Daphnia pulex: one gene and its partner. The protein of the gene in region 1 interacts with the protein of each later gene in a pairwise test. Links are inferred from orthologs where the notes say so. Each region holds a gene or a part of one and is shown on either strand. Other genes may lie near its edges.

The links.
Region 2: the proteins of prefoldin subunit 5-like (region 1) and prefoldin subunit 2-like interact in binary tests that used the Homo sapiens proteins (3 or more experiments, as listed by UniProt). The link is inferred for Daphnia pulex from reciprocal best matches to the Homo sapiens genes PFDN5 and PFDN2.

What each region holds. Positions count from the first base shown.
Region 1 is NC_060023.1:2,198,525-2,205,279, reverse strand, and holds prefoldin subunit 5-like, read right to left. Parts: upstream 3,603-6,755; 5' UTR 3,453-3,602; intron 3,397-3,452; 5' UTR 3,362-3,396; coding exon 3,248-3,361; intron 3,180-3,247; coding exon 3,045-3,179; intron 2,984-3,044; coding exon 2,909-2,983; intron 2,845-2,908; coding exon 2,739-2,844; intron 2,679-2,738; coding exon 2,605-2,678; 3' UTR 2,551-2,604; downstream 1-2,550. Other genes in the region: 1-acyl-sn-glycerol-3-phosphate acyltransferase alpha-like, read left to right, coding at 1,117-1,295, 1,358-1,491, 1,554-1,735, 1,809-2,138; uncharacterized protein LOC124197339, read right to left, coding at 6,126-6,755. UniProt on the Homo sapiens protein: Binds specifically to cytosolic chaperonin (c-CPN) and transfers target proteins to it. Binds to nascent polypeptide chain and promotes folding in an environment in which there are many competing pathways for nonnative proteins.
Region 2 is NC_060024.1:9,269,732-9,276,220, reverse strand, and holds prefoldin subunit 2-like, read left to right. Parts: upstream 1-3,089; 5' UTR 3,090-3,176; coding exon 3,177-3,334; intron 3,335-3,433; coding exon 3,434-3,557; intron 3,558-3,620; coding exon 3,621-3,803; 3' UTR 3,804-3,856; downstream 3,857-6,489. Other genes in the region: uncharacterized protein LOC124200621, read left to right, coding at 934-943; aurora kinase-like, read right to left, coding at 1,191-1,230, 1,308-1,460, 1,547-1,720, 1,798-1,956, 2,019-2,153, 2,235-2,420, 2,552-2,619; uncharacterized protein LOC124199325, read right to left, coding at 5,311-5,826, 5,887-6,151, 6,331-6,395. UniProt on the Homo sapiens protein: Binds specifically to cytosolic chaperonin (c-CPN) and transfers target proteins to it. Binds to nascent polypeptide chain and promotes folding in an environment in which there are many competing pathways for nonnative proteins.

The sequences.
Region 1 (6,755 bases):
CGTGTGCATCCGTTCAAACATGCAAATAGACCAGGACATCCGTTTCAATTAGGACTATCAATGAAATTTGGTTTTTGTTAACCAACTGCTAATTAAATAAATTCATACGTGATTAGATAGAACCGCTTTTTTCGATTTCGAAGCTTACTAGAGAAATTCAAATGCAGATGTTTGTTTACATGTTAACACCTTGGCCCTGTTTTCTATTTATCTGGATACAAAATGAACCTCGTCCTCTCTATGTATGGGCCTGAACGGTTTCGAGGTCGGTTGTTTTCCCGCTAAAGGGGTTACGGTTGCCGCCGGATCACTCGTCGTATTTCGAGAGTAAAAAAAAGCTGGTAAGTCAATGTATGCCTTAAAACACGGTTGTTGAATGGAACTCAAACGTCCAAAACCACTATTGACCATTACGGATATCTTTTCAAGGATTTTGTGGTTTAGTTTCTCCAAGATTTTCTCAAATAAAATAAGCTTACAGCAATGCGTGAATTTGTAACCTTCGGCAAACGATCAAACGCAGGTTGACAAAACTTTGTCATAGTCGCACCGCTCCAGTGGCCCACTAAAGTTGAGAGCTATAAAAGGACCGAAAGTTTTCGACTATGTTTTGCCAACAAACTGGCAAACATCACGACAACTTGTATGGACATTTGGATAACCATTGAAATGCATTTTTGCGAGCATTTTTGCAAGCCTTTTTAAAACAAAATAGAACAATCTATCATTGACTTGTGGTTTCATAGATGGCGTGAAGAACTGATTTTGTGGGAAGGAAGTTTTATGTGGTTGGTATGGTTACGGTTATATATGACGTCTGAGGCAGACGAAAAAAAAAACTCGTTGGGGTTGTTAACTACTCCTCCCGTTGTCGTCTTCGTACAGATTTTTTTTTTCTGATTTTTTCCCTTCGGAAACAAGATTCTTCCGGGTCGAGTCATTTGAGATCTGTTTACTTTCATTCGTGATTGAGACTTTGAGTATATAGCGTGCAACTTTTCCCCTGCATTGACAGGGGACTGGCGGGCTTTTTCATCCTGCTAGTGGCGTGATATTCCTTTCTATCGTGGTTCGACGCTTCTGTCTTATCGACAATTTCCGCACATTATCAGGAAAATGTTCTTCAGTTGGGATGTACTTTTGGTTTCCTTAGTGGTTCTAGCCATCACTTATGAAACACAGTCATGGTTCAGATACTACTTTCGATTTACCCTCTACATTTCCATAGTCATGCTAACTGCTGTGTTCCTAATCCCTATTGCCATGTTCAGGCCTGGCAATGTTCATAACACAGTGTAAAGCACTTTAAATATTTCAATTAAAAAAGATGGCACCTAACATCATTTTCATTTTACAGACTTGTTGCTTATTTCCTTGGACCCCTCTTAAATGCTCTTCTTGGAATGAAAGTGCACCTACGGAACCCAGAAAATTTTGTGAATGATGGTTCAATTATTTGTGCAAACCATCAAAGTTGCCTTGATTTCCTTGGTAATATAGTTATTTTTAATTATACATTGCTTTTACTCCAATGAATTCATTCTCAACATCAGGGATGATAACTCATTGGCCCACTATGGAGCGTTGTGCAGCTATTGCAAAGAAGGAGGTAAATTACATTGGTCCATTTGGCTATGTAGCAGGTCTTTGTGGAACCATTTTCATAAAAAGAAACAAAGCACACGATTCTCACGCTACAATGAATGAGGCAGCTGAGCAAGTGAAGCAGAAAAAAGTAAGTTTCTTCTGATTTTAATTCTTTAATTAATCTGAGTAGCATTTCAAGAATTGTTTTGCGCTTTATTTAGTTGAAGTTATGGATCTTTCCAGAAGGAACGCGTAATAGCGGGAAAAGAGACATGCTCCCATTTAAAAAAGGTGCTTTCTACATTGCCATCAATGCGCAGCTGCCTATTAGTCCTGTCGTTTACTCGTACTACTACTTTCTTGATCACAAACAAAAGCGGTTTGACCCAGGTGAAATTGTAATGACCGTATTACCACCAGTGTCTACTAAAGGCATGACAATGGAAGATTTACCTGAGTTAATGGAGCGAGTGCGCAACATGATGTTGGAAGTGTATCAATCCTCTTCTGACGAAATATCTAATGCTAATAATGCTCAACCTTCTAGTTAAAAGCTCTGACATAGACTAAATCCGCTGGTCTGGACTAATGTTGCACCGCTTCAAAAGTGAGAAATTTAAAGTGTAACAATTGATAATTTTTTTCTGTCAAGGCGAAAAAATGTGCTGTCTAGTCCCCGTGTAGACCTGAATTCCTAAATTTTTTTGTCCCATTTCCAATGTTCGGTTTGGCAATTTTTTTTAACTACTTTTTGTGTGTTAACTTCGCTGTTGTTGCGTATGTTCAATGGCCATCAAGTTTATCTGCGACCGGGCAGGTACAACGATGCACAAAATCGTTTTTTCTATTGGAAATCTCCCTTTTTGTACTCCTCCATGTTATTAACAGTGCAAGTTTAACTGTTTGAGACTCAGCAGCTTCATTACGAATCGAAATAAAAAATTAAAGCAATGAAAATGTCAATTTGTTGATGATGAAATTTTATTATTCATTTATTATACTGTACGGATGGTCTGTTTAAGCGCGAACTGCAGCCTGAGGGTTGGCGGCAACTTGGGCTTGTACTTTCAAATCCATCACTTCAGCAACAGCTGCAGTAAAAAAATCTTTAGTACATAGAGAAAATTAAAAATAATATCAAAGTAAATTACCATCTCTGACTTGACTCTTTTCAATACCAAGCATCTGTACTTTCTCCATTTGTTCAGTAACAAACTTTACTTTACGTCTGAAATAACTCTTAGCTTGTTCAATTGTCTGAACATTAAACAATAAAACTTAGTAACCATTTCAATCTTTTGACAAGATTATCAGCACTTACATTCTCTGCATAGTAACCGGTTCCAATATCAATCAAAGGTTGTTCTGGTTTACTGATTTTTCCAGGCACATACATCTATCAAATATAAGGTCTTATACCAAGAAATCATATGTACAATTACTTTAATCTAGCTTACAGATCCTGTGAGTGGAACAAGTATAGGTGCACCTTCCTGGGTAGATTCTAGTTTCTCAGCACTTTCAGCTGATTCTTGAAATTTTGTCTGTGCAATTTTCAAAGTCTGAAGAGAATCTTGGTACAGGCTTAAATCCTATACAGTCAAAAATGAAAGAAAGCAGTTATAAATAATTCTATAAAATAAAATAATGAAATAATGACTTGTTCAAGTTGCTGCTTTAACTGAGACAGCTGTGGAAGTGTCAAAGTGGTCAAGTCTATTTTCTGCATATTATCTCCTCCTTGGGCTTTATCTTTTTGTGCATTACCAGCCATTTTCACAGGTGTGTTACTTGATTGGAATCTATCAACTTAACGAGAAATACAAATATATAGAACCGCAAAAATTCGAGTATTTTGGGTGTACCTTTAAAAGGAAATGTCCACCACCACCAGTGTAAAAGAGCAGACGACGTGATTTAAAGGTTTGGGCGTTTAGCATTTCTAAACAGCATCTGTTCTTATAAGATGGTTTCAGAGAAAAACACCTGAAAATGAAGTCACAATTATTTATAGAAATATTTCTAAAGCCTTCAGTCATTGAGAATTCACGGAGAAATTTTTTAAATCATGCATCTTGTTTCTAATTTGAGACTTGAATTCTTTTTTCAAGTTGCAAAAAAATAGGAATAAGTATAGACGGATTGGATTCCTTGTTATTGTGATTGCGAAATATTCAGCGTTGAAGGAGCCAGAGGAAAAAAACCGGCCTCTCGGCGACAGTCTCTACTTCATCGGTATCAAGATCAGGAGCGATCAGGAGTATGAAAAGGGCAGACAGTGGTGCGTTTTCCGACCTTCCGTCATGAGTTGACGATTTCTTCACAATCAGTCAGACGACAGATACCGGGTGACACGACACGTGCCGCAACGTAAGACCGCTATATATTTCCAATCGTCTACAATCATCTTGCGAGACACACAGAGAATAGTCTGAACTCTTATGGCCTATTGGCTACTGGAAAGGCAGGAATCCTTCAGAACAGCAAAGATCAATGTACTGGGGGTCACCGAGCATCAAAATCTGCTGGCCAGTCCAGGATGTAACTCCCTTTTATCACTTTCGATATCTCGATATACAGAGGTTCTTGATATACAGATATTGTGTGGGCGGACTGGAATCTGACTAGACACCAGACAGAGCTCTCTTTTACTGTTACACTGAGACTAAATAACATTTTTTTAATTTGACAGCCAATAAGGACACTATAAGCTGCAACTTAACTAAGCGATAAGAAAACGTTGCTTTTTAACGAACAGGACTCGATAGTCTATGCACAACGCACTGGCACAATTATGCTTACCATTCACACAATGAATACTTTCAGAATCAATTACTAGGATGCACAAGTCTAATCAATAACTTTTAATGAGGAACTCAGGATGAATTGAATATGTAATGTATAGCATTTTTTTAAAGTATTTTTGTGTATCGTGTCAAATATTTTACATGAAGAAACAAGCGAAAAATTTAGACTAAATGCATTAAACGATATTATGTTTTTCTGACTTCTTTGACAATATTAAAAATGGGTTGGTTATCCATGGAATGCTGATCTAAAACAAGATTTTTAAAAAGTAATTACCAATAACGAAACAAATTATTTTCCGATATTCAAATTACCTGAATTAATTGTATCGGACGGATCTCATCAAAGAAGAACAAAATACAATTATTTGAAAAAAAAGGTGACTTAACCGATATTCGGCCGGCACTTTCCTGTCTGCGTTCGGCGGCTACCGGGACCACAAGGACGCATTCCGGCTACAGCGACGGATCTACCTGATGGGGATCTACTTTCGGCTTCCTTATCTTCCAGATTCCGTTCATCAATTTCGTTGCCCCCGTGATGAGGTCTCCTACCAATCTTAAATGCTCTTAATTGACATCCGACGGTATTTGTGGCGTAACGCTCTAGCGTTTCATTTTCGGAACAAGGTCCTTGGCTCCCCAACAGCCAACATTGTTTTTCACTTGCTTCACTCGATCCTTCATAATCGGGGCTCCAAAATACGTAGTGTCCGTCGGCCAGGCATCCGTCTGGAAGCGTTTCGCACGACAGTATTCCGTCGTCGGTTAACGTAAACCATTCTCCATCTTTACACGGTCCCTAATCACAGACAAAGTTAATTTTTTAAATTGTTTACGCACTCTTTAAAATTAATAATAATAAAAAAAAACCTGGGAGTTTTGCTGATAGCATTCGCCAGTTTCAGCGGAATAGATGAACAGACTGTTTTCGCAATCACAGATGCCGCTGTCGTCCGAGTCCAGATAAAATAGCTGATTAGGTTCTTCGAGGTCGAACAAAAACATAATATAATAGCAATAAATTTAAATTGTAATTATTTTATTTAATAATGTGTGTTAAAAATTTACTGCAGGGTCCTTGCGTCATCAGCTGGAAACACGATAACTGATCATCAATTATGTAAAACCTTTCATTTGGCGAAAGGCAGTCGAATCTATTTCGAATCACAGTCGATTATTTTTGCAAGTAAATGGCTTTAAAAGTAAATTAACTTACGCTGATGATAGATTGCTGACGACAGCTAATGGAGACTGAGTTGACAAGTCGATGAGGCTGTTTTCCGCTATGAATCCTTCATGGGTTGCGTTGGTATGGAATAAATCCTGATCGCTGGTCCAAGAAAAGATAAACACGATTAGTTGTAGGAGGTTAGCCATTAAGAGAGTTAGTAAAGATTCGGCCATAATACGAACACGCACCAATTTAAACTGGTCTAATGTTTTCACTAGAGAGGGGAGGAATGCGTAGTAGGCGTATTCAGACGATTTACATCATTCCTCTCGCTGGATTTCCTGCAATATTGTCCGACCTTTGACACAGAAACATGAACCCCCTTAAAAAGCTGAACTTCAGTCCGAATCGAATAGCATAAGCAAGCTCATGTGGCGCAACTCTCAAAATTGATAAGCAGTGCAGTATGCGTGTTGTATTCATTTATATGACTATACAGAATATTACAGTCTAACTAAAAGAACAAAACACAAATTAATAAATCAACAGCAACGTCATCAGTTGTATTTAAAAGGGGAAACTAACAAATAATCAAGTTTGTTAAAAAGAAGAACCAATTGACCAACCGTAGCCCGATCGATATTGCTGGCCAGATTACCTTTTTGTTCCCGTTCTACCAATTGTTTCATAATTCCCTCAACCGTTTCTTTTAATGGGGAAACTACTTTTTTCTCAATAAAACCTTGTTTCTTTTCCAATTCGTAGAAAATATGTATTGTGCCGTGAACCACGGCTTCGAGCTCTTTCATTCCCCGAGCAAAGTTGATGACGTTTTCGATTGGAATCCGAAATTCGTCTTGGAGAGCAATCGTGATAAGTATTATCGTATTGTTTAGCGACTCTATTTTTTCAAACTCTTCCAAAGCTTCTTTGATATCACCGGATTTCAAACTTGCAATTACGACTTTTGCTTGGGCTCTCCTGTATAAGTTGTCAACGGATTCTAATTTCTCCAAAGTGTCCCGCATGTTCTTTTCCAGCTTTTGAAAATCTTGATTCAATTGTTCAATCTTGGTTTTGTACTTCTGCTCGATTTGCAGGTCTTTGTTGTCCAGTTTCTCCCTCAGTTGGGCAACCTCGGTCTCGTAAGCTGCTTTCTTCTCGTTGAAACGAGGATCTAACTCCTC
Region 2 (6,489 bases), on another chromosome or scaffold:
ACCAAAGTACTACACTGAGCCGATTTACTACACCACTACTACTGCTGCCCCAGTTTACTACACCAAAGCCCCGAAGTACTACACTGAGCCGACTTACTACACCACCACAACTGCTGCTCCAGTTTACTACACCGAGGCGCCAAAGTACTACACTGAGCCAACTTACTACGCCACCACAACTGCTGCTCCAGTTTACTACACCGAGGCACCAAAGTACTACGCTGAGCCAACTTACTACACCACAACTACTGCTGCACCAGTTTACTACACCGAGGCCCCGAAGTATTACGCTGAGCCGACTTACTACACCACTACTACTGCTGCCCCAGTTTACTACACCGAGGCCCCCAAATACTACGCTGAGCCAACTTACTACACCACCACAGCTGCCGCTCCGGTTTATTACACCGCAGCCCCGAAGTACTACTCTGAGCCAACCTACTAAACCACAACCACGTCTGCTCCTTCATATATATTACTAAGCTTTGTCCTTTCTCAGTTGTGCTTTGAAGCATATTCTGTTTTTTCTCAACTATTTGAAGTATTCTTCGTAAAATCTATTGTTTGAATGTTTAATATTTATCTGGTGTTGTACCTACCGCGTAGTTTATTGTGCTATAATAAAATGGATTCTCACTCATAATTTATTACAAATCTAATCATTACTGCCAGTTAGAAAGGGATTCACGACTGATGCTCTATTGAAAATCTAGTTTTTTTATTCATTGTAGTTAACTTGACGGGTAATTTTCAATTAGGGATTTTCTTGAACTCATTCAATGAATAAAACTTACTTTCGTCGTTAGCAGCTAATTTTAGATGCTTAAAAAATAAATGTCATTTTAAAATAATTAAATAAATTTCAATTGTGAATTTTTTCTATAGTGGATAATTCAAATTCTTATTAAAATTACATCCTTTAACATTTACTAGGATGATGTAACTGGAAACAGAATAGAGAAAGAATTGGATGTAAAGGATGACTGGCGAACTTAGTACAAATTTGCATAATATTTGATGTAATAATGTGAATGATAAACTTAGCCATTAATAACTTACGTGCGAGCAGCATTTATGAAAAGTATTTATTGTATTACATAAATGAGAGAAGAGATAAAGGCAATCGGGAATCAAAGTTACAAATTGAAAATTTTACTTTAAAAATGTATGGTTCCATTAAATATCAAAGTTTATGCTTTGTTGGGTTGCATTATCTGGAAAGTCGGTAACCTGATGAAATACACACGTAATGTGTCACAAATATATTTGAGGACGAGTGTTAAAATGAAATAAAAAAAAAATCATACCTGGATCGAACTTCGTCTGAAAGGTGCTGTAGAATCCAGCTATGTTCAAGTAATTTTCGTAGAGGGATACGATCTTCTGCTCGTGGTTTGAGTAATTTAGCAATCAAGTCTTTCGCTCCAGTAGAGAGATGTGCTGGAAATTTCAAGTCAACTCTACAATACGAATTTATGGCATGGAAAATGTAAACGCTTAGAATGCCTCTTAACCACATTGGCAAATTATGCGATAAAATTAATACTTGCAAATACGGCGGTAAGTGAGATCTTGCTTTTCCTCTTCAAAAGGAGGTGATCCCACTAAGAATTCGTAGCAAAGAATACCAAGAGTCCACAAATCTACACGTTCGTCGTGAGAGCGCCCTTCTACCATTTCGGGGGCTAAATAATCCAATGTCCCGCACATGGTTGTACGCCTATTGAACAAAAACAATATAACATAAATAACTTCGATTTGTTTGGTTCTACACTAAACAATCATATTTTACTTTACCTAGACGAAGGAGCATGGACGGACCAACCAAAATCGGCTATTTTAATTTCTCCATGAAATCCTAGTAAAAGATTTTCTGGCTTAATATCTCGGTGGATTACTTTCCGCGCGTGACAGTATATCAATGCATCAGCTAGCTGAGCCATGTAATTGGCCGTCCTAAAAATAGGGGTAAATTATTTTCCACAGAACTTATGTTTCTGTTATTTTAAAAAATTTACTGTGGTTCAGAAAAACGGCCATTGGGTTGGCGTTTCAGGTACTTGTACATTTCTCCATTTGCGGCGAATTCCAAGATGAGGTAAATACGAGTTTCATCATAAAAATATCCGTGCATGCGTAAAACATTGGGATGTCTACAGTAGAGTCGCAGAAAAGGTTGATGTGCATTAGTGATATAAATTTTCCATAAAACATGTGATCTCATTAGTATGTACCGTAAATGTGACTGGATTTCAATTTCACGTCTCAACTGGTGTTCCATCTGACATTTTTGTAGTTGAGATTTAAACAAAACCTTCAGGGCTACAATGTATTTGGTATTGATTTCTCTAGCCAAGTACACATTTCCAAACTTCCCTTTACCAAGAGGACGGCCAATTTCGAAGTTATCAAGACTCCATCTGGGTTGAAACAAACAAGCAGAGAAACACACATGATTTGGAAGATTAATGCCACAATTAAAATATTTAAGTCAAGAAGATAAATGAGAAACACTTTGTTGGATTCTGAAAAACAAAAAATTCTAACATACTTTGAGTTTTCCAACTTAACAGTAGGTTGGTTTGAAGAGTTCTCTTTAAGTGGCTGCTTGGTTTCCATGTTATCTGTCAATTTCAAAATCAAAACATGAAACATTTACAAAAACACGAAGTTCAAACTTACTTATTCACTTACATTTTCGTAAAAAACGTTTAGATTGGTCTAAATTTTCAAAATGTGTTGTAATTGTATATACCTGTATACCAATGTCTAAACTTCTAAACTCTAAAACCCTAAACCGTGGTCTACTACGGTGCTGCTGCTACTGGACGGTTTTGGACAAATGGGAAAATATTCAAACGGCAGAACAACCGGCGTTGCCGGTATGATGGTATTATGGAAATATTTTCGCCTCCTCCGTTTGTCGTTTTTCTCAGATTTTCTATAGACTTCGTCTTCGTGTCTAAGACTAATTTATTATTAAATTATTTCATTATCATTAAGACGATTATTGTTCTCGGTGCTCTGCAATCTGCAAATAGGCCTAAGTCAATTTCGACAATCGTCGATCGTCGACTTCGCTACATTCTACCGCTAGTCTCAAATAGGAACTAGGAGGGTAGGAAGTAGAATAGCCTGAAGTTTGTCTGCTGCTTAGTGCTTTTGATACGTAAAAAATGGCGACTGACGGAAGCAAAAAGCAAGCTAAAAATGCTCCGAAAAATGTTAGCAAATCGAATGAAGAAGTCATCCAAGGATTTCAAAGATTACGAACTGAACAGAGACAACTAGCTAGTAAATTATCTGAGCTCGAAATGGATCTAAACGAGCACAAGTAAGTTTTACCGGTTTCACTTTATAAACAGACTTCCATAGCGTGTAGAGGATAATTTACTCCTACTATTAACTATGTCATATTTTTTTTCTTACTCAGACTAGTAATAGAAACCCTTCAAAATGTGGATGAAGACAGGAAGTGCTTTCGCATGGTTGGTGGAGTACTAGTTGAACGAACTGTCAAAGAAGTTCTGCCTGCACTGACATCAAACAGGGACCAGGTAACTTGTTTTCATATTGTATTATTTGGTTGTAATTTTAATTACAATTTATTTTTTATATAGATGACTAAAGTAATTGAAGTTCTCAATAATCAAATTTCCACCAAGGGACAAGAAATTAATGACTTCAAGGAAAAGAATAATATCAGGATACGAAATCAAAATGAACTCCCATCTACAGCTCCTGATAATGAAGGAGAAAATAAAGTTGCCAATCAGGGGGTTTTGGTGGGCACCAAACCTTAACTGATATACCTTGTTTTGTATGCTCTGCTGCTGAAGAAAAATCAGAAAACATATGTTTTGCTTTTGCTTATTTTTATGAATCTAATACTTTCATCTGCTCTACTATCCTAATGGAAGGTTAGAGTACTAAACAATCTGTGTGATTTACCAAGAAAGCTTTTAAGAAGCTTAGCTATTCTAACTTTTGATGTATTTATGAATTACTAGCAGGAATTATTCTATTAGATTTCTATTGAATGCACAATAACTTAGTTTATCTCTGGTTTCTCCGAAGAGCGACAACGCTATAAAATCATATGGATTTGAGATCACACCGGATTTTAAACCAATAATTTTTGCTGCTGCGAACTGTTTAGTTTGTGTGTAATATTTGAAAAGTCAAAAGTGTTCCCCACAAAATTGCTTTGGCGCAGTTCTCCGTAAAATTTGTTTTACAGATAAGTAAACAATGGTGATCAAAATATTTAATTTATTTTCTAGGTGAAAAGTTGGTCTAGACAGTCTACTTATGCAGTATACACCAAAACGATTCGACGACGATGTGTGGGAATTGGTCTCGATGTCAGGTTAAATTCTCATCGTAAGTTTGCTCTCTTTCTTTGTCTGCTCGCGGCTTACTATCTAAATAGATTAAGCCAGCCAACCAAGGATTTTATTATTATTTTTTTTTTTACCGGGACTTTCTTAAAGAAACTGAATTAGTGAACAAGACAACTTCTTACAGTCATCGTTTCTTTTAGAGTGAGCCTATCCTCTCTGCGAATAGCACTAAGGATGAGAATGATTTCTGTAACTTCAAAACACATCTTCATAAAACGTTCGTAGTAAATTTAAACTTAAATCCAAGTGATAATTATATCCACTAGAAATTGTGTGTTGATTTGTGTCTCGTATTTAACTGTTTAAAATATCAAGTAATTTTTAAAAAATAATTCGTGTTCCCAAATTCTGTGGAATTATTCAAATTTTGATGGTCTTCTACTTTCCCTACTTGCTAGTTGCTTGCCAATCGTGAATCTCCGTCTATAAGTTGTAAAAAGCAACGATGGAATTTGTAGCAGTCAACTATCAGGGCAATAGGAGGAGGGGAAACAATCGTAGCTGAATTGGGCATGAGCATGTCGCTATTCCTTTGATTTCCTCCAATTGGTACGCAATAATATTTTGAAGAACAGAAACATTTGTGAGGAAACTGGTCTTAGCCGGTCTGAGCACTTCACATTTGAAGTTGTTACGGACAAATCAATATCCTTGGTTACTAGAAAACAAGTACGTGAACAAGTTGTTTCGGTAGATTATGCCACAAAATCTGAACCTTTGTATAAACTAACGGCACTTCAGTATTGTTTGGAAAAGGAGGTAAGTTGTGTTGCTAAACGACATAGCGCAAAGAGGATTTTATTTTGATAGATATTGTTTCTGCTGTTTATTTCAGATGTTAACATATGCCAATTTAATGTTAAAAACTGTTGATTAAATGAAATAATGTTTGCCTTTTGAAATTTGATTATTTTCTAGACAAATCAACAAAAATATTGTTGTCAGTTGTGTAAGGGACCAAAGACATTGTAACTTGAATAGCCTCATTTCCATCAGGATACACCATTGTTCCAACATCTGTTACAAAGAACTGCGCATCTTGGGAAATAAGGTACTCTTCGTCTTCTGGGACAGTGCTGTATGGTGCAATGTGATTAGCGTGTTTAGTTCCTTGGATTACAAATATCGTCCCTTGTCCCGTAGAGGAGTTAGCATATTTTTGAGCTATTTCCAAATTTTTACTTGATGACAAAAATCGATTGAAGCGAATGTATTGATTCACTTCGGCCGGAACTGTGTAATTCACCCCTCTGTAAAGTTCGAAGTCATAATCTTGACACGCCAGCAAGAGAAGTCCGTAAAATCCCTTGTAGTAATATGTATAGTAATTTGAATCATCCCGAAATGCGCTTGTTTCGTCATTAAACGCAATGTACAGATATTCAGGTTCAGACATCGAGTATGCATAGGCAGCCAATTGCTCCTGTAAACAATGATCAGTTTTTTTTTGTTGTTAATTTTAAATTTGTAGTGCGAAACTTACTGAATTGTAGGTAGGATTGGTTGACACAGCGATATCCCAAGTAATTTTCAATTTTGAATTGTTAAGCATATCATCTTCTAGCATTATCTCTGCCCTCTCGGTGGGAGGCACTGTCGGGTCTACTTCATAAATATCATAAGTGACATTCAGGTATAATCTAGGTTGCAGTTTGAAAGGTTCGAAAGATCTTTCGACGCCGTATGAATCTATCGTAAATGGCACACCATAGCGCGTGATACCGCCATTTACGCTTATATTAGGTAATCTGTGCAAAATATCGTAAGAACCAATACAATTTTTTAAAAAGTTTGCATAATCAATTTATCATAAATGAATTGCGCAACTAGTTTAAAGAGAGAAAAATTGTAATAAGACATGTGGTATGAAAAAAGAAACAAATCAAATTGCTTTAATGAAGTTGTAATACATTCACATTTTTCTCACATGTTTAAGAAAATAGTAGCAACGAAGGTTCCTATGAACAACGCAAATCTGTTTTTTGAAGCCATCGCGCGGAAAAGGGTGAACTGTTCAATAAATCTAAAGGTATACTAATGGTCTTACGTCTTTTCAGGTTGCTTTAAAGTATCACTAACAGGAAAT